Linked DNA regions of Struthio camelus. The protein of the gene in region 3 purifies or fractionates together with the protein of the main gene of each other region. This does not show direct contact. Links are inferred from orthologs where the notes say so. Each region holds a gene or a part of one and is shown on either strand. Other genes may lie near its edges. The genes, in order: BCL7A, DPF2, SMARCC1 and SS18.

Region 1 (7,540 bases), on a different chromosome or scaffold from region 3:
GAAAATGGTCAGAGTTCTGGACTGAATCTATATGTGAAGGTCTGAAAAGATGAGAATGGTTTAGTTTAGCTTAATCAGAGAGAGCATTGTAAAGGCATGTGTAAATATACTGATGACCAGTGCTATAGAAAAGTAAATAAAGTACTTGTATTGTCTTGCTCCTATTGTCAGAACAAGGAGCATTTGGTGCAGCTGAGCATTAAAATAGGTGAAGAGAAAAGTTGTTTCATTCAGTCCATCAACTAGTAAAACTCCTTGCCACAAAGATGCTTGGAAACCAAGGATTCAACCGGTATGAGAAAGGGTAGCTATTTCTATGGCTGGTGTGAACACCCATAAATAGATACGTTAGACACGCTAGAACAATTTCATAACAGATCTATAACCTTATGCTTCAGGGCATGAGCAACCGTTAACTGGGAACAACTGCTGCATTCAGGTTATTCCGGGATACTATATTAAAGACTTTCCCACACCTTCCTCTTCCTCCTCTGAGTGATGAACTGGCTACTGCCACGGACACTGGGCTACCTGGACTGTGGGCTGTCCTGTGCCAGGGGCTCTTCAGTGGAAATAGAAGCACAAGCCCTTGCAAGTGCAACCTAACCTAAAAAGCCGTCTGCAACGGCTCCAGTTGGAGCAACGGCTCCAATTTCTCCCTTTGATAAATATGTTTGGCCAAAACGCACAGTATACATGAACAATTTTCCCTCGGATCAACGCTTTCCTGTGTTGGGATCATGCATTTCCATTGGTGATGTGGTCTGCATCTCACAGAAACCAAATCCTCCTTCATACTACCCTATTCTGTTTGTACACTGTTCTTGTTAGAGCTATCTGCTAGTTTTTGTGTTAATGATACCATAACCCAAGAGACTGGTTTCGCTTTATTGTACAGGAGAGCATATGACAGAAGAAGAGCTGGCAGCATGTCTGACTACCTTGCTGGGCATGAATCCAGAGGGAGGAATAACTAAACCGGGCACCTCCGATACCTCAGGTACACAGGATTATCGTTCTACGCAACACAGAAGTAGAATTGCTTCGGTTCCCCAACAGAGTAATTTAAATTGCAAACCTATTACCCTGTTAGGCCAAGAGCTGTCAAAAATATGCCGACAGGACTGCAAAAATAGCCATAGAGCTATAGATTGTCCTTGATACATGCAACCATTGCATGGGTGTATATAAAAATAAATGAGCAATGAGATGTACCTGGGACCTGACAAGATTACATTGGTGTTTATCTGCTGGCTTGGAACTGAAATTAGAAGCACACAGTGGAAGGTTTACATGCCAAAGTCCACAGGCAAAAGGGAATCCTAGAATATGCAAATTATAGTGTTGATTTCATCCAGGCAGTAATGCCCATTATAACGGAACTGTTGATAACTACCACATTTGTATACAATATATGTCCCAGTCTACACCAGTCTAGAATAGCAAATTATAGTGTTGATTTCATCCAAGTAGCATTGCCCATTTTAATTGGAACTGCTGCAAAGTACCACATTTTTATACAGTTCATGTCCCAGTCCACGCCAGTCCGGAACAGCATCCGGTCAGGGCTGTCAGCCCACGGACCTGTGGGCTTCGAAGGTACCTCTTCTGAAGGGAACTGTCTAGCGCTGTAAACCAACTTTGAAATCCCTGGATTCCGTAAGATCCTAGAACCAAGTGAAATCAGCGGAGTGTAAAAGTTCCATTTGTTCTCGTGACTTTTCTGAGATAGGTATTTACTGCAGGATGAGGCTGTCAGCCTCACAGATTTGACAGCTTGTCCCCTTATAAGGCATAAGTATAAGGGCATAAAGTATTAAGCTAAGCCAATCCTTTTTCACGATCGCTTCAGACATCTTCAAAACATTCCATCCACTTAACTGCTGCTTATAAACCTTACTCTGTGGAAACCCATTTTTATGTTGCTGTTGTCTGTTTTGTGTTGTTGGTGTTGTTGTTACTGCTCTCCAGGTGCAGCAGCTTTACTGGAAGAAGAAATTCCAGATGAAATCACAGCAGAGATATTCACTGCTGACATTCTTGGCTTACCTATTCCTGAACCAGAAAAAAACAGAACAGAAAAAAGAGATGAATCTTGGATCCACGAAGGCTCGGAAGCATAGCTGCTACAAAGTTTTCTACTCGTTCCTACTTTGCAATCTCCTCTCCTCAAGTATCTGTGAAATTTGTATTTTGCATTTATGAAAAAATAAAGGCAATATAATTTCAGACTGAACAAACACTTGTCTAACCCCTGGTTTAGCGCAGGCCACAAACCTGTGGGATCAAATCTATTTCCCAAATCAAGCACGGTCCTAGTATTCCACCTTCTGTACTGCTACTGTGGAAAGTTTGGATTTGGAGATCATCAGTGGAAGTATTTCTGCCATTCAGGCATGGCCAACACTCCTAATACCCTTTCGCAGGGAAGTTAATAAACAGTGGTTTAAATGAACATGGTGCCGTCCTGAAGTGATCTTCTGGGAGAGCAGCATGAAGACTCCGCTGTAAAAACATCTATCTTGTAGTCCAGTGAGCCATTAGAGAACATCACTATGTACAGAATCGCAGGGGTGGTTGCAAAGAATAAAAGAGTAGTCGGTGCATTATCTTCTTGCATTGATCATCCCTGTTCTTGGCTAGAATCTTCCCAGAATTCATTTTAGGGTGGGTTTGTGCCAGATGAAGCTGTTCTGATGCAGTCTATTTTCATCATGCTGAGGCGATGTTTATTTGTAAAACCTGACAGTCAAATAGCGACGTAAAAGTATTATATGGATTGTCTACATTGATAAATGTAATGTACAAAATGCCTGAATACATCAGAACGGATTGGTAATTATACAAATAAATCCATCAGTAATCCATCCTTCAGCCCTCAGTAAAGAAAGGAACAGTGAGATGCAAATTAAAACCAGGTTTCTATTTTGGTCTTTACAACTTGTGTTTTTCTTTCTGAAAGTAGTAGTTCCAATTAGTAGTGTAATACCAATGGGACAGCATTTTACAGTGTTTGTATAAACAGTGTAATGAAGCTGATATAAGTTGCTGTAGAAAGATCAGTGAAGAGCTGTTGAACGCGCTTCCTTCTTTACATCTTCCTCAGCATCAATTTGAATAATAATGTAGGCCCTTAAGAAGCGTTCCTTTCAGTGGCAATGTTTATTAAATCGAGACTGCTGTTACCTACCGTAGAATATCTGGGGCTGTTCAGTTAGCACAAACAGCAAGACGTTACAACTAGGTACAAGTTAATAAAGAAGTCCAGTAGCACAGTGACCAGGGTATGTGAGGTTAGAGAGTTTCTGCAGAGCATGACTTCGCAGGTAGCTCTCTCTGCCCGTTTACTTCTATGCGCAAACACTCCCGTGTATCTGTGCTGGCTCAGATCCTCACCCCCTTTACATCGCCCTAATTCCATGGAAGCTTTTGGAAGCACTTTAGGCAGCTGAGAAGCCTTACAGACTCTGCAAAAAAAATCTGCATTTTGTGGATTTATTAAACGTGCTGTTTAACAAAGCAGATGTTTTGCTTAACAGGAAGCATTGCCAGTCACCGCGCTCGAGGTCTGCAAAACGGTGTCACAACCACTTGCACAAGGGCTGGACGCAGTTGTCACTCGGATATCCCCCTCGCGCCTCGCGGGGTGGCTACGCTCCAGCATCCGGTGTGCTAAGAACAAAGTTTGAGGCCAAGCGGGCTGAATTCCCCCCCCACACACACACCCCGTAGACTGAGCACCCCGGGGATCTTCCTCTCAGCGCAGGCACCCAGGCCGCGCGGAGAGGCGACCCCTGCCCTTGGTGGGGCGCGCGGGCCGCGCCAGGGCGACGCCGAGCCCCCATGCGCCGAGGGGGGCCGGCGGCAGCCCCGCGCCCCAGCCCGGCTCCCCCTTGGCCCGGTTTGTCCCCGCGGCCTCGCTGTGGGGACGTGACGCCCTCAGCGTCGGGGACACCCGCGCGACCCAGGCGTCCGGGCCTCTCTCCTTTCCCCCCCCCTCCCCAATATCCCTCGCCACCAACAAAGGGCCCAGGAGTCCGGCTCCTCCTTATCCCTCCGGCCGGGCTCCCCCCGCCCCGCGCCCCTCGCCACCAACAAAGGGCCCAGGCGTCCGGCCCGCCGCCGGCGCGCGCTGCCCTGGCGGCGCCTCTGCCGCGCGCGCGCCGCCCCCTTCCTCCCCCCCCCCCCGCCCCGCCTCGGCCCCGCGCGCGCGGGCTCCTGCTGCTGCTGCCGGCGGCGGCGGCGGCGCGGGGCGCGTGCGCAGTGCGCGGGCCCCGGCGGGCGGGCGGAGCCGAGCGGAGCCGAGCGGAGCGGAGCCGAGCGCAGGGAGCATTGTGCGGGCGGGCGGACGGACGGACGGACGGGAGCCGCGAGCCGAGCCGAGCCGAGCACCGCGGCCGCCGCCCCCTCCCTCCCCTTCCCCCTTCCCCCCTCCCCCCCTCCCAGCAGCATGTCGGGCCGGTCGGTGCGGGCCGAGACCCGGAGCCGGGCGAAGGATGATATCAAGCGGGTGATGGCGGCCATCGAGAAAGTGCGCAAATGGTGAGCGGGCCGCGCCGCGCCGGGACCCCGCGCCCGCCCCCTCCGGCCCCCCGCGCCCTGCCCGCAGCCCGCCGGCGGCCGCGGGGGGCGGGGGAGCCGCCGGCACCCAGAAGCCATTTCGCTCCGGCGAGTCACATGAAGGCGGCGGCGGCGGCGGCGTGTGAGGGCCGGAGGCGGCTCCATTGTGCGGCCGAGCCCCCTCGCCGCCGCCCGGCCCGCTGCCCCGCGGCTCCCGGCCCCGGAGAGCGGGGAAAGGACGGCGGTGGTGGCGGCTCCTCCCGCCGCCGCCCTCCCCTGAGCGGGGGCCCGGGGCGAGCTGGGCGCCCGGCGGCTTCGCGTGGAGCTGCCGCTTGGAGAAGTGTTTGGGGCGGGGGGGGGGGAAGCGTTAAAAATGGCACTGAACAACTCCAAGAGTTGTTTTGTTTCCCCCCCCCCCCAAAAAAAAAAAAAGTCCCGTCCCCCCAGGTTCGCACCCACGCGGGGCCGTCGGGCCGTGAATCCCGAGCGGAGCGGGAGCGGGGGAGGGCGCGACTGCTGCTCGGATTGGCTCCAAGTTGTGCACTTGGAGGTTGTACCCCCGGCGAAAGCGTTCCCTTTTGTTGGGCCTGGAAAGTGCTTTGGCCTTTTTTTTTTTTTTTTTGAAACACGCTTTTTGCCTTTTTTTTTTTTTCTGCTTTTCCTGTCAAAATCAACACGAGGCGTTGGAACAATACAGCGGAACACAGTTATGGCAGTGTTGGGCGCAGTCAGTCTAGTGTTTTGGGATGGGATGAGGAGCCGTGCCGGTGTGAGCCCAGACTGGATCTTTCTTCCAAAAAGTAGACTGCTCAGTAGTCTTTGTGCATGCATCTTAAAATCTTCCTGTAAACGTGTGAAATCCACAGCAAGTCTCTTCCTATGCGTAGCTGTTTTGAACCTGATAAAATAAGGGGGCACTTTTCTTGTAATCCACAGCTAAATACTTTGATTTCATTAAAAAAAAAAAAAAAGAAGAAGAAGAAGCAGAAATTAAATGTGTGTGTTATCCTGGCAAAATGGGTTGTTGCCTTTTAAATGGCCTTGAGCACATGAATGGGCCAGTTGGCTTGAGCTGGACAAAGAATCAAAATGTGTGTCCCGTAATGCAGGGCACGAGATGGGGATTTCGGAGAATCCCTCCATTGTGCAGGGAGCGAAGCAGTCGGAGGATTACAGCTCTGCTGATTTCAGGAACTCTCTTCTTCTCTGGTGATGTTTTCAAGTGTTGTTTTTTGACTCTTTGGCCAGCTAGGAAGGCTCAAAACTATATAGCGATGTGGCAGTACTTTTTAATCAGAGTAGTATTGTTGGATGTGTGGGACTATTTTATTTGTAGATATCTCATTCATGAGTGTAGTGCGTTTCCTTTGAATCCCAGTTGGTGGATTTCAGAGAGGAGTAGAGGCAGGAGCTTGGCCATTCAAGAAAATGTCTTTTTTTTTTTTTTTTTCCTCTTGGCAAGGGCTTTCTGCCATCATGTCAGTTGCTATGGCTTCCCCTATAAAACAGGAATCTTAGGGTATAAATAGATTTTGTACATTTTAACCCTCCTGAGAGAGAGCTTGTTTGAAAAGGTTACTGTACAGAATCATGCGAAGTGTTTCTTCTGATTACGGTCAGAAGTATTCATATGGCTTTTTGCGTGTGCATCTCGCAAGTATTTACACAAACCATTTTTCATATTTTTAAAAGAATTAATAATTTGCTGGTATAGCTCATGGTTATTTTTCCCCCTGTTCACTTGCAGTCAAGTACATTGAAAATTAGCAAGAGAGATTCTATGTTTTGTGGTTCAGATGTTTTGAGAAGACTTGTGAAACTGAACTTTATACGCTAGCAATTCCTATATCTTACGAAGAGCCACATAGGCAATTTTCAGTGTGCAGTTTCATTTGCATAATAGGAGCAATTTGTTGCCATCCACAGCTTTTCTGTGGAAATGCAGCCACTGAGGATTAAAAAACCTTGCATACGGTGTTTCATAGAACAGAATTTTCTGAGACTTGTACATGTCGCATTTCCGCACTGAAGACAGAAGCGGGGCAGACTGTATTGCAAACCTCTCTGAACTGACAGCGGCCCTGGTGCGTGCTGGCCAGCACTCCCATCAGTAGGTGAAGGTGTGCAGCAGCAACTCTCCTTGTTGTAGAGTGTTACTGTGTGCCTGTATTGCCACGTGTGTGTGCATGCCTATTTGAAGTGAGTTTCCATCAGTACAGAGTTTGTCCCGTAGGAAATATGAATTCTTTCTTAGACAGAAATCCATCCTTTGGTGCAGGCACCTGTCTTCATGCGTGCTTGTATCGTGCCTAGCACTTTTGGTATTACTGGAACTTGACTTATAATAGTAAACGGTGGAGTTATTATAGTTTTGTTAATCTCGAGATTAAAACTAATCTCCTTCGTTTAAATCACTCTCATGAATGAGCATTTATTTTAGAAGACACCTAATATGTTTCCTACAAAATACATGGTTGTGTGGCAGAACGCTGTATTTCCATGGCTAAGAGCATAGACCTACTTCTTCTTAATAGCTGTCACGTTTCTTCCAGTCTATTAAACAGTCATCTGAGTTAAATTTAACTTAATGAATTATAAACAATATGGGCTTATCTTTTGTTTTAAAGATTGGCAAGTATATGTAGGTCTTAAACAGGCCCTCAAGCAGAAAGGGGTGAAAACTGTTGCGTTCTCAGCCAGCATTACAAAATAATGGAAATGCTCTTTTTTTATAAAAGATTTATTAAATGCTAGAAAATGCAGAGAGTTTTACTGGTGAGAACACATAGTGGGCAGTATACAAGTGTAAGTAGTTGGGTGTCTAAGGAGGCAGTGAAATGATTTGCGTGGGTAACTAGGATTTCTGAACTTTCGGACAGCCGTGCAAACATTAAGGATGGAGGCACGGTGTGGCTGACTGGGACAAGTGTCCTGATCTAGGGAATGCACCAGGAATGAGGAAATCTTATTCTGTTGTCCT
Region 2 (7,557 bases), on a different chromosome or scaffold from region 3:
TTCGACAAACGGGATTATTGCTCCCTAGAGACTTTTTCCGGCTCTTACCCGTATACGACGCCGAACTGCTGCTACTCAGCAAATTTTAAGCGCCCTTAAGCGCAGCTTCCAGGAAAGTGGATCACCGCGGAAAGGAGCCTGGCAGTTTCGCGCGTTTTCGTTAAAAAACCGCCGGGGAAAAGAGCGGAAAGGATGCTCCTACCTCTCGCCTGCGTCCATACGGGCCCCGAGAGGGAGTCGGCGCCCCGTCGGCAAGCCGCGGTTCGTTTCCGGGCCGTTTCGCCTTTGCTAACGGTCGAAACGCTGCTCCGAAATGTCTCTTTTTAACGGATTTTGGACGGCCAGGAGAGAAGACGTCGCCGGGTTTATTACAAAAGACCCCGCCGGGAATCGAGGCGTCGGAGCGAAAGCGAGCGTGGAGGCGACGGCTCCCGGGAAACGCCGGAAAAACCCGGCTCAACAGCTGCCAAGTTTTTGAGCGTCGGCCGAGAAGGTTTTCAAGGGGGGGGAAAGAAAAATAAAAAAAAAAAAAAGAGAGAGATTCGGGCCGGAAAAGCTTCGGGTTGAAGCGGGAGGTGGCGGCAGCTCCGGCCGCGTCGTCGCTTCGCTTCGGGGGAAACCGAGAGGGTTTTTTCCGGAGAGGGAAAGAAGGGCGGAAGCTGCACTGAGCAGGGGGCGAAACCTGCTCCTTCCCGTGGGGGGGAAAAAAAAGCGGAAAAAAAAATATATATGTAACTTTAATATATATGTAACCTTGAGGTGACATAGGGCATCTTTTAAGCAGCTTTTTTTTTTTGGGGGGGGGCAGTATAGGGCCTGCCTGGGCCACCCCAGGGGGGTTTAAAACCTCCACCCTCGCAGTGCCGTATAGTGGAGGGCTCTATACCCTTCAAGGGCTCTATATGGCCCCTTTCAGACGGCTATATAGGGGCAGGCCCCCCCCAAGCTTTATAGGCCCCCCCTCCCCTTTATGAAGCCATATAGAGGGAGCCCCAGGCCCAGGGCTCTATAGAGCCCCCCTCACAGGGCCATATAAGGGGACTCCCCCCCACCCTCTATAGGGTCTCTTCACAGCACCATATAGAAATAAGCACTCCTAAAGGGCCCCTCTTAGAGGGCTGTGTGGGGGCAGCGACACCCACCGCCCGGGCTCTATAAGGGTCCCCTCACAGGGCTATACTGGGCAGGACCCTTACTCCTAGGCTCCATAGGCCCCCTCCTAGGGCCATGTAGGATGATACTCCCCCCCACAGCTCTATAGGTCCTCCATTATAGGGGGAGATGGACCCCTAGCCCCTGAGCTCTATAGAACCCCCCCACTGGAGCATACAGGGGGGATCCAGACCCCCACCGCTCTATACGACCCCTCGTAGGGCCATATAGGGGGGATCTCCATTCCCTGGGTCCTACAGGACCGCCTCATAGGACTGTATAGGGAAGGACCCCCACCCCCACTGCTCTATAGGATCACCTCACAGGACCTTATGGGGGGATTGAGATGCCCACGGCACTATATAGCACCTCCTCACAGGACCATATAGGAGGATCCAGACCCTCGCCGCTCTGTAGGACCCTCTTGCAAGACCATATGGGGGGAACCCTACCCCTACAGCTCTATATAGGACCCGCTCACAGAATCCTATAGGGGGATCCAGACCCCCTACTGCTCTGCGGGACTTCCTCATAGCACCATATGGGGGGAATCCCACCCCCATAGCTCTATATAGGACCCCCTCACAGGGCCACGTAGGGGGATCCAGACCCCCACCGCTCTATAGGAACCCCTCACAGGGCCACATAGGGGGATCCAGGCCCCATGGCACTATAGAGGATCCCCTCGCAGCAGCACATAGGGGGATCCAGACCCCCACCGCTCTATAGGACCCCCTCATAGGATCATATAGGGTGATCCAGACCCCCACAGCTCTATAGGACCCCCTCGCAAGACCATATGGGGGGAACCCCACCCCTATAACTCTATATAGGACCCCCTCATAGGGCCATATAGGGGGATCCAGACCCCCACCGCTCTATGGGACCCTCTCACAGGACCTTATGGGGGGAACCCCACCCCCACAGCTCTATATAGGACCACCTCACAGCATCATATAGGGGAATTTAGACCCCCACCGCTCTATAGGACCCCCTCACAGGACCATATAAGGGGATCCAGGCCCCTATGGCACTATAGAGGACCTCCTCGCAGCAGCACGTAGGGGGATCCAGACCCTCACCTTTCTATAGGACCCCCTCATAGGGCCATATAGGGGGATCCAGGCCCCCACAGCTCTATAGAACCCCCTCACAGGACCTTATAGGGGAACCCCACCCCCACCACTCTATAGGACCCCCTCACAGGACCTTATGGGGGATCCAGGCCCCCACGGCACTATAGAGGACCTCCTCACAGCATCATATAGGGGGATCCAAACCCCCACAGCTCTATAGGACCCCCTCGCAAGACCATATGGGAGGAACCTCACCCCCATAACTCTATATAGGACCCCCTCATAGGGCCATATAGGGGGATCCAGACCCCCACCGCTCTATGGGACCCTCTCACAGGACCTTATGGGGGGGACCCCACCCCCACAGCTCTATATAGGACCACCTCACAGCATCATATAGGGGGTTTCAGACCCCCACCGCTCTATAGGACCCCCTCACAGGGCCATATGAGGGGATCCCCCACCCCCACCGCTCTATAGGACCCCCTCACAGGGCCATATAGGTGTTCTCCCCCCACAGGACCCTATGGGGGAACCCAGGGCCCTTCAGCGGAGCCTCCCCCGGCCCCGGGCCCTGCGCGGCGCCCCCCGGCCGCCGACCCCGGCCGCTCTCGCCTTCCGCCACCGAGGAAACTTCGCCCCCAACAACGAGACCGGCCGCCTCGCCCCCCCCCCCGCCGCTTCTGCCCCCCCCCCGGTTCCGGTCACTTGGACTCGCCCGCGGCGAGGGCAGCGCCCCGCGTCCCGCGTCCCGCGCCCCGGCCGGGCCGAACCATTCTGCCCCCCCCCGCGGGGGGGGGGGAAAGGGAGCCACTCACAGCTTGACTACATTCTGTACCACCGCCGCCATCTTCCCTCCGCCGCCTGGGCCCTGCGCCGCCCAGCGCGCATGCGCCGAAGGAGGGGCCGGGCGGGGCGGGGGAGGAGGCGTGAGCACGGGGTGGGGGGGAGCCGCCGCTCGGCGCCTGCGCAGAAAGGCGGGGACGGCGGCCGCGGCCGCGCGGGCATGCGCAGTCTCGCCTCCCCCGCGCCGGCGCATGCGCTGAAGGCAAGGGCTGGCGCGGCTGGTTGCGCTGCTTTGCGCATGCGTCAAGCGCTGGGTGGCAGGGCGGGGCCTTGGCGCATGCGCGGGGGAAAAGGCGGGAAAGGGCTGAGGGGGGAGGCGCGAGGACGAGGAGGGAAAATGGAGGAACGAGGGGGAAAGGCGGGAAGGAGACGGAGGGGTGAGGGGGAAGAGCGAAGCGGGGACGGGGAAGAGCCGAGGGACGGAGCTGGAAAGCGGTAGGGGTGAGGGTGAAGGAAGGGAAGGGCTGATGGAGAGGAGGATGAAGGGTAGCGGGGAGGCAGAGTGAGGGAGGGGGTGGAGGGCTGAGGTAAAATGGAAGAGTCAAAGCCAAGGGTGAGGGAAAACAGGTGTGAATGATAGAAAAGGTGAAGGAAAAAGAAGGGAAAATCAGGTGTGAGTGATGGAAATGGGGGAGGAGAAGAAGGAGCAGGGGCAGCGGGAAGGGATAAAGGCTATTTGGATGGGGTGTAGAGGCCTGGGGAGGATGATGGATACTAGGAGGAAGGATGAAGAGCTGGGGAGGATGAAATGAGGGATAAGAGAGTAATAGGGGTGAGGGAGGGCGCCAGAGAAAGACCACGAGGCAAATGGTGCAGGATGAGGGAGACGAATGAAGGGAAGATGGAAGGATGGAGGTGGAGAGGCATAAAAGGATGGGAGAGTAAAATAAGGGTAGAAAAGAGGAAAAAAAAGAGGTAGGTAAGGGGAAAAGGTGAACGATGAAGCAAGAAGACATATAAGTGATGTAAAAAATGAGCAAATAGGATTGGGAGGGATTTGCTGAACAGCAGACTGATCTCTGCCCTGCACGAACAGATGACCGCTGCCTCGGCCGTGCACACGCTTCCCTAAACTGCTCTGAGCTCCCTCGGATGCAGTTGGGCACCTCGAGGAAAACCACCGTTTTGGGGCATTCGCAGGTTAAATGGCTTCGTTCCTGTCTGGGAACGCAAAGAGAAAGGGATGGGAAGTATTAAGCTGTGAATATTTGTAAATAATAAATAAATAACTGGAGCGATAAGGCAAGGAGAGAGGCTTTGATCAGTCTGGGGTCAGGTTTTACACCAGGACCATCATCACTGCAGACCGTTGCAGTCAATAAGTCACCTGCTGAGGGTGACTCAGATCTCCTGTGTCTGCAGCATCTTATGTCTGTTTTTTTTTTTTTTCCTTTGACAAAAAGCCTGAGGTGACCATGCTCCTGAATTAAAGCACAGCAGCTGGATGCCTGCAGCGAGGTGCGATGAATCGGAGCCAGAAGGCACGGCTGCATGAGCAATTTGCTGCACGGTAATTGGGAGGGGTGGATTTACCATGCTTTAAGCAGCTCCATCATAATTCCCTTACGGAGAAAACGCAGTCCGCAATGAAAGGCGAAAGAAGCAGAGTTGCCTCGAGGAAAAATTTTGAGGAAAAACTTAGCGGAGACCCGTGACCTTTGAATAAATGGGTTGTGAAGAACGGACCCAATTTATTTGTGCCTAACGGGGGTGGAGCGAGATGGGCAGGGCTTAAATCATAGCAAGAGAATTTGAAGCCAGACAGCAAGAGAAAAATGTCTAGTCGTAAATTACTGGTATAAATTGCCGTTATCGCAGCTCAGCCGAAGCACGGTTATTTGTTAATCTGCAATAACTCCATCATTAAACTGCGCCCCGGCTGCGCTTTCAAAGCGGAATAAGCAACCTTAATGCTCATTAAGCACATCCGTTCGGGGCACAGCCGTGCGATAGCTAGTCGGCTCTGCGTTTTCTTTATTAACGAACTCTTGATCTATCTTATGTTCCCCCAGCTGCAGGGTAGTCATTCCCTGCCCTCGTGGGACGCCGCGGCAATAGAACTGAGCTACTCAGCTGCAGCAAGGGACTGGGACAGAACACGCAGCGCCGTGAGGAGATTTGGGCCTAATTCTTACTCTACCGGGTAAAAAAGAATTCAGTGGGTGAGAGCGCGTTGCTTTATTTTGAGTGGCTTTTTTCCCCGCAGCCCAGCTGCGCCCGGCAACGTCTTGACGCTTTCTTGGCTCCTTCGCTTGGAAAGATGACAGCAGCAACGTTTTTGCTCTGTGTTTTGTTTTTTTGTTGTTGTTTGTTTGTTTTTTAATTCCATTACAGTCCAACCCTCCCCCCCGCCCGACACCTTCTCTAGCACGCAATTTAGCTCTTTGTCTGGAAAGCTTCCCCTTCTCCGTCCCCCAGGAAATTAGATTTGTGGCTCACGTTTAACAGGCGCCGCCGCCGCAGATTTGTTCGCGAGAAGGTGCCCTTGTTGGTACGTCTGGCGCTTTCCACTTGCCGGCCTGGAGGGCTACAGCACATCTCTTAAATTTACTTTCTTCCCCCTCGGGCGCATTTGCTTTCTTTCTTATTTTTTGCACAGTGAGGTTAGGCAGGAATCCGAAAACGCCGTAATTTGGGAGCTGCACAGACTGCTTGGCCTCCAGATAAGATGCCCAGTTCTCTGTCCCCAGGTAACACAAATTCTCTGCAGGTGTTTCTGTGGCTTCGGCATGCACTGCCACAGGGCCAGCAGGTCTCAAAACCAGCCAGCGGCCGTTTCAGGGGCAAACGGTAGGGTGATTTATCTAGTATCTGTAGGGAATCGCTGCTTTTGGTCAAAATGATTTTCAGTGCAGAAATCTATACTTTCGCATCACTTCCTCCCCTCCCTCATCCCACCTGAACCGCGAGGCCTTCTTTGGCTACAGAGAAACAGTTGTTAGCAGAACAGCTCTCCCCCCAGGGCCAACTTTCTAGCGTCTTTTCCCTAGAAATGTATTCCCCAAACTTATATCTTTGAGATCTTTTCCCTTCTGTTGAATCTAGGTTAGTCAAAGGTCTTCAAGTTTATTACCCGGGGCGGAGAGCGTGGCTTGTCCGATGGCTCTCGCCACCCAGGTGAATTCTTTTCTCTTTTTCTTTCTGTTTCCCCTTTCCACGCAGCCCCTCTTGATGGTTTTGGGGTTTTTTTTTCCTCCTTTCCACGCTAGGAAACTGTTTTCCAGCCACGTCGCTTTCCATCTACGTCCAAGGTTATACGACGAGCCAGGGACGCAGCCGGCGCTGAGGCGTTCTCTCCCTCTGCGACCGTGTTTCATCTCAGACCCGCTCCTCTTCCTAATCCCTCGGCGGCCGTAATTTGCATGCACGAGGTGGCTTTGTTTCCTCACCAGCTGTTCAGGAGCCCGAGCGATAAACAAGGCAGCACATAAAATCACTGCCCTGTTACTGGGGCTAATGGGAAGGTCACAATGCATCGGCTCATGCAGGTGTGACGGCGGTGACACTGGGGGTCAAGCACGCGACAAGGCAGCATCGCCCAGCGCTCCGATTTATTCCCTAGGGCCACGCGCCAAAACACACGCGCAGACCCAGCATGGGCGTTCCCGAGTTTATCATATAACTCATCTGCTGCCCGGAAACCTTTGGACGAGGAATAACCTGAAGTGTTTTTGAGGCCTGGGTAAAGCTGCTGTCAGCTGACAACCCCTGCTCTGTGCTACAGCTCGCTGCTGTCAGCTGACAACCCCTGCTCTGCGCTACAGCTCACCGGCCAGGAGCCGGATCCTCACATCGCAAACCCTCAGCTTGCGGTAAACCTGTTGCCCACCGCGCCAGAGCTGGAAATAAACTCTTGAGACCTTTGTTAACTTTTTCTGGCTAAAATCTCCTGAAAAAGCAAGGCTGTTGTTCAGCAATCGCAGGCTGAGTCGCAGCGGGGAACAGCTGAGAACCAGTAACTTTCCTGCCCGAATGACTCACACTTCTTAGAATGAGTATATTAAAAAAACCAAAAAACAAAACGCACATAGTTTTGCAATGCTCATTTCCATAAATCTCCGATTTGAGGAGTGACTAAGCCGGGAGGCAAACGCACAGGCGAACAACGGGGCAGGTTGCCAGGAAGGGGCCGGGACGCAGCAGGAAGCTCTTGTCGCGGCGCAGAAACTCCAGAGTGGGGAAAGCCCAAAAGCAGGGAGAAGCGGCCCGTGGCGGAGCGAGGTGCAGCGCTGGCTGCCTTATCACTGAAAACGCTGCGATCCAGCGAGGTTTTCGGGGGGCAAGCAACCACGTAGCCCGTTAAAGCATCCTTTCCCTCTCTCCCCTCATAACTCCAGCTCCTCTCCCGTCTTTTCCAGGCTTTTGGGACGGCTCTAAGCAGAGCGCTGTCGGTGGAAGGGCGCTGGAGGAAAGGGAGCATCACCTGCAGAAATCCCCGGTGCTGAGACCGCACAGGACAGTGAGGAGCCGAATTTAAATGGTC
Region 3 (7,752 bases):
GCAACTACCCCTGGCCCATCAGAGGCCTCTGTTGAGATGGAGCTCCCAAAGGAGGACGCAGCACTGCACAGAGTGCCTGGTGCTGAGGCTGGGGCAGAGGGAAAGGCCTGCATGTCCCTGCCTGCAGGAGGTGTGTGCTGGTGGAGGAGCTGTGTCACCAAGTTAAGGAGATGCAGGGGGGAGGTCAGCTGGCTGTGCAGCCTTAGGGATGACGAAAAAGCGATTGACGGCTTTTCTCTGAGACCCTGCAGCTACAGGCAGAGTCCCTGCTAAATCTGTCTGACACCTTTCATAATTTCTCCTTTAACGTCTCAACTTCCTTTGGGACTCCCCATTATGAGAACAGATGTATCTTTGCAGTTGCCCTGGTTGTGTTTTGAGTTAGAACTGCTTCCACCTGTTGGGTAAATTTGCCAGCTATTACTAGCCAATACTTGTTTCTTCATGCAGTTTGGGGGGCAGGGATCCAAAAGACAACATACAAACACCTCCACAGTCCAAAAATCATCTTGTGGCCCTATTATCTTTCACTGCTTTTGTAATGGTTTGTTGGCTGTACAAGGTAGGTGGTTCTTAATTTATGTCTCCGCATCTTTTCTCATCTTAGGCTGCCATCTGCATCCTGCAAGACTGTCAGTGTTTCGTCTATTTCTAAATATCCTTGATTATAAATTAGTACTACCAACTCTGTTCAGGCAAGTTCAGGCAATACCAACTGCTCCACTTTTCTTTTGTGCCAGTACTGAGTCTTCTTTCAACATGTTCCTCCTTTTAATCTTCCACTCAGTATGGAAGCTGGGTCTTGTGCTTACAGTGAAAGCAAGTTCAAGATCTCTCAAGACTGGAAGCAGACCTCGAGTCTCTACTGTCACCTCTTTGCTAAGGGATGCCAGCATCAACTTGGCTACCTTCAGGTTACATACAGAACTCTCATTAGTCTTCTGTGCTCAGATGCTTCATCAAGGTGTGCACTGTTCACAACGCCACTGAGCATAATCCAACCAGGTAAGCTTTTTCACGTGCTGTAAATTTCTGTTCTGCTGGGGTTACAATCCTCCATAGTATGGGATGAAGTGAAGGACCACGATCCTGTGAGCACTGACGCAGCACCCTGTGGGATGCTGAGCAATTGTAGCTCTCCCTTAAGAGAGAGGAACTCTCTGCACTTCTGCCTGCTCTGGTCTCCCTTCCCATGAGATATTTTCTTCGTGAGATCACACAGCAGGGCAGCTTTTTCTGATTAGCCTTCTATAAATTCCCAAGAGAACCCTGTTAGGCTCAAAACTGACCATAAGGCAGTTCTAGATATAGGCACCCAATTTACTCCCTAATCACCTACCTCCACTGAACCTCTCAAAGTTTCCACGCAAACCTGAGCTTCAGTTCACAAGTCACCTGCTTGTACTGTGAACTCTCCCTTTGCTTCCTCTGGTGTTCGCACACTTAGACACGTCCTAAAACAAGATTATCGCATCCTTGTCAACTGTCAGCTAGTCTTGAAGTACAGCTCTTTTCTTAGTCTTGTTTGCAGGCTTGAACCTTTTTCCCTGCCACAGGCAGGGAAATGATGCCACTGCCAGCATAATGGTCAGCACGCTCAGATTCCTGGAACGCCTCAGGTGACCGAGCGGAAAGGACACACTTCTGGAGCACAAACTACTCGCTCGGCTGTCCAGGAAATCACAGCATTTGTGTTGTCTGCCAAGCATGACTGAAGGCGGTCAGCAGGTCCAACGCTTAGAAGGTTTGGGAACGCAGACAGGAAAAATGACTGAATAAGCCTCGTTTCTTTAAGAAACTAGGCTAAAAGCTAGTTCTCCCTACCCTGTGACAGTCAGCGAAATCATATAAATCAGAGGGGTAAGCTAGTCTACACTCTCAAAAGACAATTCAGATTAGGATAAGCAGGGACACTCTAAATTTGGCAGAATGAAAAAAAGGCAGATAATTTGAGATGTCTGGAGGCAGGGCCTGAATAACATTCCCCACGTCCTTGAAATCTCAAGGTTCTTACATGGCACATCAAAAGTCTCAGTTTCCACCAGATAAAATACTTGATTCCATACTTTTCCACTTTCAAGGCCCATATTAATCCTATTCCAATCTACCTAAGAGAATGAGTCTTAACAGCAGAAACCTATGATTACAGGGCAGGCAGACCCAGATCTCCTTCTCTAACGTAACTAAAATACAAACGTTTTCCTTAGTTTTCACAGTCATAAACATCAGAATCTGAATTCATTTTATTTCTTCGGAGAGCTTTTACAAAATATCAGGGCACATAAAGTTCACTGAGGTACAACTATGTCCTCCTCCCTTCCCCTCTTCTTCCCCCTTTCTTTTCTTCATGCTTACATACTTACACAAGTATGTCCTATATATCAGGATTCCAAGAGAGGAGGAACTTAATAGCAATTATGACCTTAGGAATTTCTGCCCCCCAAAAGATTTTCTACTCCTGTGCAGCAACTCATCCTCCTGGAGTTGCGTGAATATGGTTTTCTCTAGGCCATGCTGCGAAGCCATCCAACACTAAACTGTCGTTAAGTGACTCAGACTGCAAAACCACATACTATATCTCCCTATAACCCATCCAAGGAACTACTCGAGATTATGATATTTTTCTCTTTTGTTTCCCTCCGTACATGTCATTCTTACCCTTTCCAGCAGATCCAGGGAACGGCTTCCCTTTCCAGCTCAGGTGCAGTAGCGAATTAGAACAAAGAGCCATCTGTAAGCTTAGTGCTTGACAGCTTATCATCACATGCATACCCTGTTATTTTCAGCAGTATAATCATTGCGTAATGGGGAGATCACAGGCTTCAAACCTTTTTGAAGGCTGAGGCCGTTTTCCGGTCTTCCATTTCCTTCCCCCCTCCAACCATTATTCATTTTAATGCCGTTTTTTCTCTTCTGTGCAAAGCTTTAGCCACCGAAGGAACAACGCACACAATCACGCTGCCCAGGAATGATTTCACTGGCACTAACACTCCACCACATCCTGTGGTAACAACTAGAGAACAAAGAGCCTGGGCTGGTGTCCGAAGGCTGAGACATGCCTGCTCATTTCAGCTCTGCCGAGGAATGCAAGAACTGTCCTTATAGCAATGGGCCAACTGTATTCAGAAATACAGAAGGGAAAAAAAAAACAATAAACCTGGTCACATCTCTGCAGCAGTACCTCGGGATGAGATGTCCTTCAGGTATCCCATACAGAGGTCTGATGCTTTGCTGTCCGCTGCTCCTAAGACAGAGTAGCAAATATAAGAAGGTAAACGGCTCCCCAGACATCTCTTTCCACAGCAGGATAATACAAACAGCAACAGCCAGGCTGATTTATTTCTCATATCAGCAGAAATCTACTGCCATAACGGTGGTGTCAGAAATTTCAACGGCCACCAGCTAGCCCAAAGATGAGTGTCAGGAGGCATTTAACAGAACAAGTTTAACTTCCCACTCTATACATCCAACTCCTCTCTACCGGGATAAGAGATTTAAAAGGAGCTCACATCAGAGCTGCAGTCTCCACAGCCACAGGTAACCTACTCAGGAGCTCGGCCCAGCACAGCGCGACAGCAGCAGAGGCTGAACCACGGGCAAACGACCCGAGCCGCGCCAGCACTAAGGACGACACGTCCCAGCAAACCCAGGGACCCCACCGCCGCACCGCTCGCGCAGCAAGGAACCCGAACAAGCGCCCTAAGCGAGGCGGGAAGGCGGCCGCTCTCTCAGCACGCCCTCAACTTCGCGCCTCAACCCACGGCCACTTCTTCGGACCGGCACCGCGCGTCACCCCCCGCCCCGCCTCGGCTCGGCGCTCTCAGGCCTCAAGGCCGGGCTGTGAGGAAATGGCGGGAGCCGCGGCCGCGCTGAGGCGTCACCGCCGCGCCAACGGCCGCCGCGAGCCCCTCTGAGGCGGCGTCGCCCCGACAACGGCCGCCGCGAGCCCCTCTGAGGCGGCGGCGTCGCCGCGCACGCGCACGCGCGGTGGTGGGGGGGAGGGGCGGCGAGCAGGGCTGCGCGCACGCGCCGAGGCTGGCCGGAGGGGGGCGGGTAGGTGATGGTGGTGGTGGCGGCGATGGGTCCCCCTGCGCGCATGCGCCGAAGTCCGGCCGACGCACACGGGGGGGGGGGAGGAGGAGGAGGAGGAGGAGGAGGAGGAGGAGGAGGAGGAGGACGGAACTCGGCGCATGCGCCCCGAAGCGGTGGCGGCGGCCGGCCGTTTGGGGGGGAGGGGCGGCGAGGGCGCAGGCGCTGACCGCGGCGGAGCGCGGACGCCCAACGGCCGCCGCGGGGGCAGGGAAGGAGGCGCGGGGAGGGGGGAGCGGAGCGGAGCGGCGCGCACGCGCACGCGCGGCGGCGGCGGCGGCGGGGGGCAGCGGTATTCCCGAGCATGCCCGGCGGGGCGGGGCGTGCGGGGCTCGACGCATGCGCGGAGTGAAGCGAGTGGGAGGCGCAGGGCCGCGGTGGCGGCGCTCGGCGAGGGTAACAATGGCAGCGGCGGTGGCGGCGGGCGGCGGCGCCGCGGGGGCCGGAGCCGCGGCGGCGGCGGCGGCGGCGGCAGCGGTGGGTGCCGGCCCGGGACTGGCGGCGCTCTCGGTGGCGCGGCGGAAGGACGGCGGTCCCACGGGCAAGTTTTGGGAGAGCCCGGAGACGGTGTCCCAGCTCGACTCGGTCCGCGTCTGGCTCGGGAAGCACTACAAGAAGGTGCGGTTCGGCTCGGGGTGGGGGGGATCCCGGTTCCGATCCCGGTTCCGGTCTTGGCGGCGCCTCACAACGGGCGAGGCGGCGGTTTAACGGTCCCGCGGAGCCCGCTCGCCGCGGCGCGCGGGAAAGTCGCCTCAGGGCGGCCCGGCGAGGGGGGGGGGCCGCGCTCCGCCGCCGGCCTTTGTCAGCCGCCGCCTCGCCGCCGGGGGGGTGCGGGCTCGGCCTCAGCACCGAGCCACCCCTCTGCGGAGGTTTCCGGCCGGTTCAGGCTGGGTGGGGAGGTGGGGAAAAAGAAAAAAAAAAAAAAGGGGGAAAAAACCCGACATCCCCTTGTCTTATCAGAGCTGTTTTCGCGGAGTTAACGCGTGCCTCGCATCCGCGTTTATACCGGCTGTAGCTGCAGCCGTAACTTTTCTTGTGGAGACAAGTCCCTAGAGCGGCTTGCCAGGATGTTATATTAGGTTTCGTTTAAGCCGCACCCCTTAAGCGTTAATGGGTTTAAAAAAAAGGGGGGGGGGGAAACAAGGCTGCTCATGCTGTTGGTAACTGCGTGTTGCTAAATCTAATGAAACGCGACAAACCAAATGCTTGCTGCTTTGGTTATGGCTGCTTCACTTCCATCCAGGAGCGCCGTTGCTTGCTGTGTGTTGTCCTTGCACCCTTGTTCCTCTTCCACCCTTTGTTGTGTTCTGCTTCTTGCCTTTTTTTTTTTTTTTAGGTGTTTTTCCTGTTTTCTAGCTTTCCGTGCAATTCCTTATACATAGGTCGAGAAAAATTGGCTGACAGTAACTTTCCCAAGGACAGATGTGTGTGTCTGGACCGCCTTGTAGAAATCAAACTGAGTGTGCTTTATTCTTTGCTGTCCCCTGAATCTGTGGTAAATATAATCTGTCTTTTCTTCGGGAGGTCTGGTTTAAACAAGCATGGGCCAGTTTACCTCTTGTTGCTCCGCTGGTGCTGTTGATTTGATTATTTGTGCGGCAGCGCTCTGAAACGCGTGTGTGAACTGATCTGGGTTTAAAAATAAAAACACAACATGGTTAGAGGTGTGTTTTACCGGTCTTTCTGCGTATCTCTTTAGAGTGCAGCCACATAGAGTTGAATCAGCGCAACGGGGGACCAGTAATAATTTGAGTGAGCAGCTTAAACTGTGTTGATAAAGAAATAATAGTGTAAAACGGTGTCTTTAGTTTGACCTTTTATTGTTTTGATTGTGCCTTTTCCACTGTTTCTAGACTTTTGAGGAGGAACGTTATTTCGTTTTGTTGTCGTGACGGATTATCGACAAGATTATAAGAAGTTTCTTGATTCTGAAATGGCTTAGAACTGGCATGTGCCACTTTGCTGATGAGCTTTCCCAAGTCGCGTTATTTTAAGCGTTAACAGTTATTGCTAACTCTACTCGTCCCTTGCTGTTGTCAGTGAAAACTATCTAGATGAGTTAGTGCTCACCTTACTGTAGCCTGGCAGGGCTCTTATCTGTAGTACAGGGATGGGAGCTTTCCTTTTGTAGATCGAAGCAGAACTCTATGTTATAATTACTTTATACTTAATTGCTATTACTGATTAGAAAGATTAGATGCTTATATTTACTTCTTAAACTCTGGAAGGTAAACAGAACTGGCCGAAGCAGACATCTGAAATTTACTTGCCCAGTACGGATATTGCTGTATCAATTCCTTGAAAAGTAAGAACAAAAACTAGAAGTCCTCCTTGTTTTGTGAAACAAGGAAATTGGTTATTGGTACTAATGTTTAAAGATAACTCTAGATGGAATCGGTAATTCCTTTTTAAACTGTAGCTAACAGACTTGAATTCTTCTTGGGAAATGCTGCTTTGTATAGTGGATACTTCATTCTTACTCTTGTTTCCTGTAATTCAGGTGGCAGTTTTGCAGCAGGTATGTCGTATTTCAGAAGAGTACTTTGGGGATTACAAGTGACATATGCCCATCATACGCTCTTAAAAATTGCTATCTATACATCTCTCCATTGGTAAAACCTTAACCTGTAGCATTGTGTCCAGCTCTGGAAGCCCCCAAGGAAATTGTGGACCAATTGGAGGGCATCCAGAGAACAGCAAGCCTGATCAAAGGTCCAGAAGTCATGATGGGCAAGGAGTGAGTGAGAGAACGGCGATTGTGCATCTCTTCCTTCTTGTGTATTTGAAGACTTGCCTAGAGACAAGTGCAAGACAGTGATGTTCTCCGTGTCTCTAGAGTATAGCTCAAAAAGCAACAGGTTTAAATAGTAGCGTGAAAGACTTGCACAGACTCTTAGGAAACCCATTCCTCACAGTTTATAGGGGTTTTCTAGACAGTATGTTGAATCGCTATCAGTAGAGATTATTGGTGATAAATTCTGTTAGGTAATGACGTGGGTATTGTAACCCTGCTCTGCTGTTAGAGGACGTACTGCTTTCTGAGGAACAAGCTTTTGAGGCCTGTTTCTTCTTCCTAGCTAAAGTGTTGACAGTGAGGAAGGCCCTTCCATTGATGTACAGAAAGACAGCGTGCATTGGGAGTTTGTGTTGCGGAGGGGAGAAACAGCTGATTGAGTAGAGGATGCTTATAAAGATGGAAGGAGTACTGGGGATGGAGTATTAGTGACACCAAGCATAATGACAGAAAACAAAATTGTGTATTCCGACCTTCTATGTCCTTCCCTCTTTTTGTATGTGTGATATATGTAACTCTTCTTGCTCCCGTTCCCTGTGTTGAAAGGTATAGGAAGTCCCGTACTTCTTCCCAGGCCTTGGACTGTAATTCGGATGTGTGGGCCTCTCTTCCTTGTGAGTTGCAAGCTGTGTTTCATGCTGTGGTTTTTAAGACCTGGAGGAGTTGAAATCTTTCATGGCGTTTGGGAAGATTAACTCTAGCGTCATAAAGGTGTCCATTGTAAGTGGAAATTGGCAGTTCAAAAGTGAATTGCCGAGTTTTTCCTCCACCTCATATGTATTGTGTTAATGCTCAGTGATTTCTGATATTATGTGTTGTTTAGGTAATCCTTTTGACTTTAAGCAACAAATTGCTTATATTAAAATGGC
Region 4 (8,020 bases), about 120 Mb from region 3:
TGTCCAAATATTGTGTTAAAACTATATTATACTATGATATCTTTGAAGGTTTGAGAAACAAACTACCTCCTTCCCAAAGTGCAATTATGATACAGGTAAAAAAAGTCTCTATATTTTGGTTATGCAGTCCCCATAATTGGGAGCATGCTATCAACCTGCAGTAGTCAAGTTACAACTTTTTAGCGATAGAAGTGATAGTCATATTGCAAAGAAAATAAATCATAAATGTAATATCTGCAGCAATAGTTTTATATTCATAGTAGCATAGTTCTCCTAGAGTCTAAACAAATCAAGAACTGCAGTCTAGATGGAAATTCACCCAGTTTACAGTAGATCTGGATTAATGTCTTACTGAGAGCATTCAGATGTCTTTCCTTTGTTCTGATAGTCCATTATACACTGAATAAGGTGGTTATTTTCATCCAACATCTGAAACGACAAAAAAGTTTAGAATAAGTTTCATGCTTTTTAGGGAAAGAAACTGATGACGAGTTTGATTCTTGCTCCTACTTCTTTTTAAGCAAGTGTTCTAAAAAGCTTTATTTCAACCAATTATTTATAGAACCTATTTTGCTACCATCTCCCCCTTCCTCCCTCTCAGTTTTCAGTTGAAAACTGAAAACTCATTAATTCAAGATGTTGCTGAGTTCCATAAGCAGGAAAAATAATATACTCTGGTCTCAGAGCTGCACATCCCTACACACACATCCTCTTAATCACTCCCTTGCACTCTGGTCAGACAAGACACAGCAGAACTATGGCTAGTCTGAGCTACCAGCCAAATTATCCAGGTTAATTGAACTAAACAAAAAAATTTACAGCCAAATGGAAAACTTCACACTAACTTTTTCCTGCATTTTGCCCTCAGTGGAGGGCTAGTTTAAGATCTCTTTTGCAGCTCCTGAATTTCACAAAACCGGTAGGGTCTTAATTATCTCCCTTCCAAACACGGCTGAAATTAGAAAGCAGGCTTATGACTCTGAAAGGGAAGCACAGACACCATAATTACAGCATCCTCAACTCTGTAAGAATCTAACATAAAAACAAACAAAAAACCTATTAAAATATTTATTTTTTCTTCCAAATAACCTATCTTTAATATGAAAAAGGTACAGATTCAGAGACCTCATACAGTCCACTCAAGACTTGTATCCATGTAAGAACTAATAAGCCAATAAACCAAGTCTTCCTAAACTTAAACCAGTAACTTGCCAGAATTGACAAGAACAGTCAGTAAGCAATCGTCCTTGCCTAAAATTGCTAGACCTGGAAACACTGTCCTTAAGCAACAGACACATACAGAACTGCAATGTTTCGAACATCCGTCTGAACTCCAGAAACTAGGAAGAGATGTACTTCCATGCTCTAAAGGGGCTTGCCGACCCATATACACCCATATACAGACACACTTCACGTGTACTAACATCAAGTTCTGTAAGAAATACAGTAGCTACTTTCACCAGAAAAAAATGAGGAAAAAGGAGCAAATATGTAAATAAATAAAATATATGTATGTATGTCTATATATATATATATAGACAAATACAAGTCTGTTTCTCATATACAACAGACAGCGCATTTGTAAAGGGAGCCTTGGATGAAGGCTCTCATCAGAACACTTCCATCTTCCAGTGGAAGACAGCATATACTTAAAGGGAGTAGATCATCAGACTTCCAGTTAGATGATTCCATTCCCTTTCCCCTCCCCCTCTCAGGTAAGCCAGATCTCTTTGGAGAGGGGGAAAAAAAATGCTAGGGCCAGGAAGAAAGTAAATAAAATGGAATACAACTATAGCCTAGACTAGGCTGCAGGCACTGTTTTATAACGTTTTCATCAAGCAGTTACCGATAAAGAATTGAAATAGTTCTCTGAAAGAATTATAAGCACCTATCACCAAGAAAGAATCTTAAGTTTCCAGCCAGATGAAGACACCTCCAAGGCTTCCAACAGCTTAGGAACACTACAAAAACTTGTTAGCTATACCTATACTAGGATTTTGCAAGCATGGCAGCATCAAATCAACGGTAGGCCTACAGCACAAGAAAAAAAAACCTTAAGTGCCTACATTCTTTATATGCATCCCAGTGAACTGAAGTCTCTACTACCTACTGGTAGGCAGCTCAGTGGGCGTGTACTTTTTGGCTATGCTTCTCAAGCACAGACTACTTCTGCTCCACTACTGCAGAGGTCTGCATCATAACTCTGAGGTCTTCTTTGAGGTCCTGATCCCTACAACTTTGACACCTTGCTGACATCCTTGTCCTCTAATAAAGTCAGCACCTGATTTATCTAAATGGAAGGCATCTCCTCCTACAGGAGGAGCTGACGGCCATAAATTAAAACAGATTTCAGATCACGATTTAAACTGAGGACAGAGAGGGTCTAAAGTTAGGTTTCCAAATGTTACAGAGTCAGCACTGAACTTCAGTGTGCTCTTTTGCCTCTGCCAATGCGACATATCGTTAATTATTACAAGTCCTAAACACGCTTTCTCTCGTTGCTTTTGGCAAGTTAGCTTGCTTCCTCCCACAGGAGCCTAGACGGACGCATCCCAAGTCCCTGCCATCAGCTCTAGCCACAGCCTTCCCCCATAACAGCACTTTAGAGGGTTTTGTTTGGGGCAGGGGTAGGGGAATTAAAAGGTAAGCCAAATCTGGGAGTCTCTGCTCACCCCACGGAGAGAGAGATCACATTTACACAGGGCTTAGCAGCAGCAGCAGCAGGACCGCGGCGTCACTTGCAAGCACCTCTCACAGGAACGGCTTCGCCGACTTCTTCGTTCGCCCCAGGTGCCGCGGGCGAAGCGTACTGAAGGGCTGACTCGCGCTTGCCACACGGCCGCCGGGTGCCGTGTCCCCCCGGGGGCGCGCGGGGGCGCGCAGGGGGGCCGGGGCAACCGCCGCCCCGCGCGCGCGCGGCCTCCCCGCGCCGCGCCCACCCCACGGCGAACACCCGTGGGCGGCGGCAGCGGCGGCGCCGCCCCGCGCCCCCCAGAACAAGTGGCAGAGCGCAGCGGGGCGGCCCCGCGCCCACCGACCGCTGCGCGGGGTCGGACCCCGCCGCGCCACAGCCCGGCCGCCGCCAGCGCGGCCCGGCCGCCGCCGCCCCGCCGAGGGGCTTTGGGCGCCCCGGGGCCTCGCCTCCACCCCCCTCCGCGCACGTCCCGACGCCAGGAAGCAGCCGCAGCCCCCGGGGCCGGGCCAGGCCGGGCCGAGCCCCTCCTCTCTCGCGCCCTCACCTTCTGGATGGCGGCCGGCGTGATCTCGCCCTTCCCCCGCTGCCTCGGGGCCGCGAACGCCACCGACATGTCGGGCCGCTGCAAGGAGGGGCCGCCCCCGCCGCCCGCCCGCTCACGCGCCCCGCGCAACCAACAGCAGCGGGAGGCGGCAGCGATCCGGGAAGAACGCGCTGCGCCGGGGGGGCGGGGCGAGGGGGCGGCTGCCCATCGGGCCAGCCCATCTCTACCCCGCCGGGGAAAGGTGAAAGGGGGAAGGGTATTCTTCCTCCCTCTCCGGCACGGAGAGGGAGAGTCGATAAGGCGGTGGCCGCCTCCCTGGGTTTCAGAAAAGCAAAAGGAGCAAGAATCGGCGCCGCTCCGTTTAAATGTGGCCTCCGTCAGTCACGAGGCCTTTTTGGCTACCCCTTTCCCTTCCTGGCGTTGGTACGTTCCTGCTCAACGCGGCTCCGCGCCGGACAGGCAGCGAAGTGGTACGGCCGGCGAGGGGGGGGGGGCGGGGAAGAGGAGGGGGAAGGGGAGCGCTTTAGCGCTCACGTTACAGGGGACGCACTCCGGCTGTGCCGAGGAACGCGCTCTCCTCCCCCCGCCACCCGCGGCCGCGCTGGTTGCGCCCAGGCGGTGCGCTCTGGCGGCCGTGTGAGGCGGCGGGGGAAGGCGGCGCGGGGGAGCGCTGTGAGGCGGCAGCGGCGGCAGCGGCGGGTCCTGCGCTCGTTCAAGTCCCGGGCGAGGCCGCGGCGACTTCGGTGTGGCACCGCCAGAGCCTCTCGCGTGGGGAGCCGGAGCCGCAGCCGCAGGCCTGGGCATGCGAGGCAGGGGAGGTGCCGCTGGGACGTTTTTGCCGTTGGCGGTGGCACGTGCCGTTTGCCCAGTAGTGTTCGCGCTGACGTTTCCAGGCTTCTGGTGGTGTTTTTTGCTGTCAAGTCATTGCCAGAACTGGCAGGTTTAAAAAAAAAAAAAAGTTTAAGAGCAGACCCTGGGGCTGTATACTCCCCCCTCCCCCCCCCCGCCAGCCCAGCCAGCTTGTGTGTGATTAAGTTTCCCTACTGACCTCCCCGGCCACAGCTTCTCTGTCATGGAAACGAAGCCGAACAAGGAGAAACAAGTGCTGCTACGACTTTTAATAAATTATAGACGCTAAAATTGCTGAAAGCAGCCTTGATTTTTTTCAGTGCTGCCTTTGGAGGGATCTCTGGGGCTTCACCACATATTCTGATACACAAGTTTGCAAAGTCTAAGGCTGTTCTTTACAATAGTAAGAGTTTCAAAGGTAATGGCAAAGAAAAGTAGAAAATCCCAAACTAAAACTTCATAAATCTGCTTTTTCCCAGGCACGTCCCTGGCCTGCCTGGATGCTGTTTAGTGCTGTGCTGTAGGCCATGAATGCTGCATCTCCTTCCTGACGTATTGGGCAGTGACCTTCAGTATCTGATTTGCGCTCTGGTCCTTGACAGAAATGCCTGCTCCTGTGGCTGATGGGACACTGCTCTGTTGCATGACGCCACACAACAAAATGTGAATATTCTCCCTTATTCTGCGCGCTTCTCTCTTTCCCTCTCTCAGCTGTTGCTGGCTCAAGTCCCTGGCTCTTCCCTCCAGCCCTAGCCTTTTTGGTTACAACATATATTTGTAAGTGGCATCCTCGGCCACCCTGTGGCTGTGCAGCTGCTTCCCAACTGGCATGCTCTCTCCTCCGACTGTTTCTAGGCTGGCTTGTTTCCCCAGCCCCATGGAGATTGCTCTTCCTGGCTCTGTTATCCTAGGATTGACTGTGACTGCCCATCATCCCCTATTTTTTTCCCCCTTGACAACCAGTTCCCAGGCTTCTGTCTCCAAACTGTTCTTGCATTCCCAAAGCATCCCCCTCTCCAAGGGACTGTCGCCTGGGCCTGATTCTCTCTGTTCCCAGAATGGTGCTTCTTCTGCCCTGTCTCTTCAGGTTATATAGGACCTTGAGTTGATGCGATGCTAATCTGGCTTGCTGTCCTCTCCAGAAAGTGATTCTGGCCCAGTCATTTCACTATAGGTCATTTTAAGGAGGAGGACTAGTGCCGGCATATCCATTAGGTTGTTTGTGTTTCTACACGTTTCACTCATCACCATGGTATCTAGGTCCGCTTTACTTTATTTGTACAAGCAGTTTTTTTTCTCTCACCTTCCCACACATTTCATTATTATCTGTAGCAGCAGTATTATCATACTTGTAGGAAAACAAAGGCAAAAAGAAATGGTTGAAGAAACCCTTTTTTCTGAAGTTGATGGGCTTCATGGTCATTCATGGTTTTTGTTGAATATTCTTGGAGTGCACTCATACCACAGAGATGTGGCAATAGCTCTGTGCTCAAATCAATATTATTTCTAGATACTACAAATGACAGTCCTAAGAATAAAGAGTACAAGATCACTGTGGCCAGAATAGAATGAGAAGGTACTACCTTCTAGCCAGTTGCAATAGAAGAAACAGGACTTATTTCCTTAGCAGAAGTAGATACTTGGCTTTTGAGAAATAGGGATGTGTCGGAAAGTATTCTAAGGCGGCAGGCACCTTCAGCAATCAGAGGACAAATACATTCTCATGAAGTATTCTGAACACTGAGAATTCTTCAAAATGCTGTTCTCTTCCGACAAGTATAACTAACCTTGCTGCCATCCTCTAGTTAGACAGCTGCTGTTTCTGAAATGTTTTGCATTGGGGTATCTTGGTGACGACAGTATTTGACACAATGTGGGTTAGGTGTCAGCCACATAGCAATTGCTTTTAAGCTCAGAATAATGCATCGTGCTCTCCCACACTTTCAGGCTGATGATCAGTAGAAGAAAAAAAAAAAGGTTTGTGGGATTGCACGGGGATGGTGGAACCTTAAAATGAAAGGAGTAATTGCCCATCCTAATTCCCAGAGATGGCCTAAATTAAATACTAGATACTTTTAAGTGCATTCCTGTTTTCCATTCCAAATGCAGAACAATGTTTGGAATTCAGCTGTTACCAAAGGAAGATACAGACATAAGAAAAGATCATTCATTTAAAATAATTAAAACTGTCTCTTTTGCCTGGTTTTATCTGGTAGTTGTAAATTAAATCCAGTTATTCCCCTTTCTTTGTGATGATTTTACATTCATATGTTTAAAATTTGGGGTTTCCATGTTCATGATCTAAAGAAAAGTTCAAAAAAGAGACTGCAGCTCCATTTTTTAACGGGGAAAGAGAAAATCACATTGAAAATCAACATTTAAATAATGGCACAGATGCATACAGGCAGGGAAATAGATAGCTACAATGGAAACGTGCCACATGTCTCGGAACACATAACCACAACAGGGTGTCTCTTTTATGACTTTCTTAATGCACTGCAATATGCCTAGATATCGAAGGACATATGGTATATTTTCTTTTTAATTGCACATTTCTTTACTCTTGAGTTACTCACAACCTTAACATTATTTAATTGTAATTTTGATACATAAATCTAGATCATCACAAAGAGTTTCAAATACAAAATATGTTTCATCCAGCTCTTTTCCATCTCTGCTCCAAGTTTTATCAGTGTAGCATCCTTTTTTTTTTTCATGTGTATTTCAGTATTTCATACTTTTTGAAGGGAGAAGAATGCAGACAGAGAAGGATGTGCCCTTTTCTGAAACATTTTTTTCCCTGTGTTTCCAGCTCATCTTTCTCAAACACAAGTACCTGGGTAACAATATAGGCTCTGAGATTAGGGTCCAGAAAGCATTAACATATGGCTCCTAGAGAAAGCTATCTATTTGAAATGAAGCGCATAACAGTTGAGTGATTTTAGCCTCCTCAGGAGTGTGTCAAAATTCCTCACTGCACTGGGCTTCATTTGATTTAGTTTTGGGGAAAGCTGTAAGATTTGCAGTGATGCGGTCTTCCAACGGTTCTGAGAAAAAAATAAGGTAGCTTCAGTTTCTGCCTATATTTTCTGCCGTTTTTATTATCCGATTTTCCATAAATTCCCTGGAATAGAAGAGACGGATAAAAAGGGATCAGAAAACATTCCCTTTCACAAGCAGGAAAATACAGAATGCTGATCCATCATCATTTTCAAATTTTAATTCAAAACTTAAATTCACATTTTAAAGTTGGTATTTACTAAGCTGACAGTACAAGACAGGAGAGCAAAGACGTTTTTGGTAATGCTGCTTACACCTGCTTGACTAAAGATTGCAGTATCGTGTTGAGAATGATTCCTGAGAGTTAGAACTTTCTCGGAGACAGCACCTCATTTTGTGCATTCACCTCAAACTGACAAGAATCACTTTATTAAAAGTAAATATGATAGCTCAGAGTCTAGTGCTAGTAGGATGGCAGGGCAAATTTGAGCCTTTTTTTAGGGCTGACTTTTTTTTCATCTTGTGATTAAAAAAAAAAAAAAAAAAAGAAAAGAGTTTTGGGTTTATGCCTGTGTGTTTCCTAACATTTTTAGATTAGAAATCAGGGAGCAGTTACAGCAAATCTCAAGGAGTAGCTTCCTTGGGTAGATAAAAAGGAAAGTTACCAAAAGGAAGAAATACAATTTTTGGCTCAGTATTTCTATGGGCTTCACTAACTGGACTTGGTGTGATCTTGTGACTTTGGGGGGATTTCCTACATGCCCAGAATACATGTTAATTCTTCCTGATGCAAAATGGAGCTAGCATCTGAAAATCTGCCAATTTAAATGGTTGAGCTTAGAAGATTGTTCAGATTCAGTCTCTTTAATTAATCAGTAAGTTGTTATCAAATTATACAACAATATCAGCTTGTTGTTAAAGTAAATGGTCTC

What was found.
Region 1: the proteins of SMARCC1 (region 3) and BCL7A purify together in Homo sapiens (affinity purification with mass spectrometry; 4 studies listed by BioGRID and IntAct, counting the BioPlex papers as one, with this or other methods). This does not show direct contact. The link is inferred for Struthio camelus from reciprocal best matches to the Homo sapiens genes SMARCC1 and BCL7A.
Region 2: the proteins of SMARCC1 (region 3) and DPF2 purify together in Homo sapiens (affinity purification with mass spectrometry; 9 studies listed by BioGRID and IntAct, counting the BioPlex papers as one, with this or other methods). This does not show direct contact. The link is inferred for Struthio camelus from reciprocal best matches to the Homo sapiens genes SMARCC1 and DPF2.
Region 4: the proteins of SMARCC1 (region 3) and SS18 purify together in Homo sapiens (affinity purification with mass spectrometry; 4 studies listed by BioGRID and IntAct, counting the BioPlex papers as one, with this or other methods). This does not show direct contact. The link is inferred for Struthio camelus from reciprocal best matches to the Homo sapiens genes SMARCC1 and SS18.

Annotation. Positions count from the first base shown.
Region 1 is NC_090958.1:17,698,916-17,706,455, forward strand, and holds the start of BCL7A (B-cell CLL/lymphoma 7 protein family member A), read left to right. Parts: upstream 1-4,278; 5' UTR 4,279-4,450; coding exon 4,451-4,542; intron 4,543-7,540.
Region 2 is NC_090976.1:840,542-848,098, reverse strand, and holds the start of DPF2 (zinc finger protein ubi-d4), read right to left. Parts: upstream 3,133-7,557; 5' UTR 3,079-3,132; coding exon 3,047-3,078; intron 683-3,046; exon of another isoform or gene 220-682; coding exon of another isoform or gene 203-219; intron 1-202. UniProt on the Homo sapiens protein: Plays an active role in transcriptional regulation by binding modified histones H3 and H4. Is a negative regulator of myeloid differentiation of hematopoietic progenitor cells. Might also have a role in the development and maturation of lymphoid cells.
Region 3 is NC_090943.1:1,278,132-1,285,883, forward strand, and holds the start of SMARCC1 (SWI/SNF complex subunit SMARCC1), read left to right. Parts: upstream 1-4,428; coding exon 4,429-4,707; intron 4,708-7,752. UniProt on the Homo sapiens protein: Involved in transcriptional activation and repression of select genes by chromatin remodeling (alteration of DNA-nucleosome topology).
Region 4 is NC_090943.1:122,326,770-122,334,789, forward strand, and holds the start of SS18 (protein SSXT), read right to left. Parts: upstream 3,309-8,020; coding exon 3,240-3,308; intron 2,870-3,239; exon of another isoform or gene 2,673-2,869; intron 430-2,672; coding exon 353-429; intron 1-352. Other genes in the region: PSMA8 (proteasome subunit alpha-type 8), read left to right, coding at 3,307-3,662. UniProt on the Homo sapiens protein: Appears to function synergistically with RBM14 as a transcriptional coactivator. Isoform 1 and isoform 2 function in nuclear receptor coactivation. Isoform 1 and isoform 2 function in general transcriptional coactivation.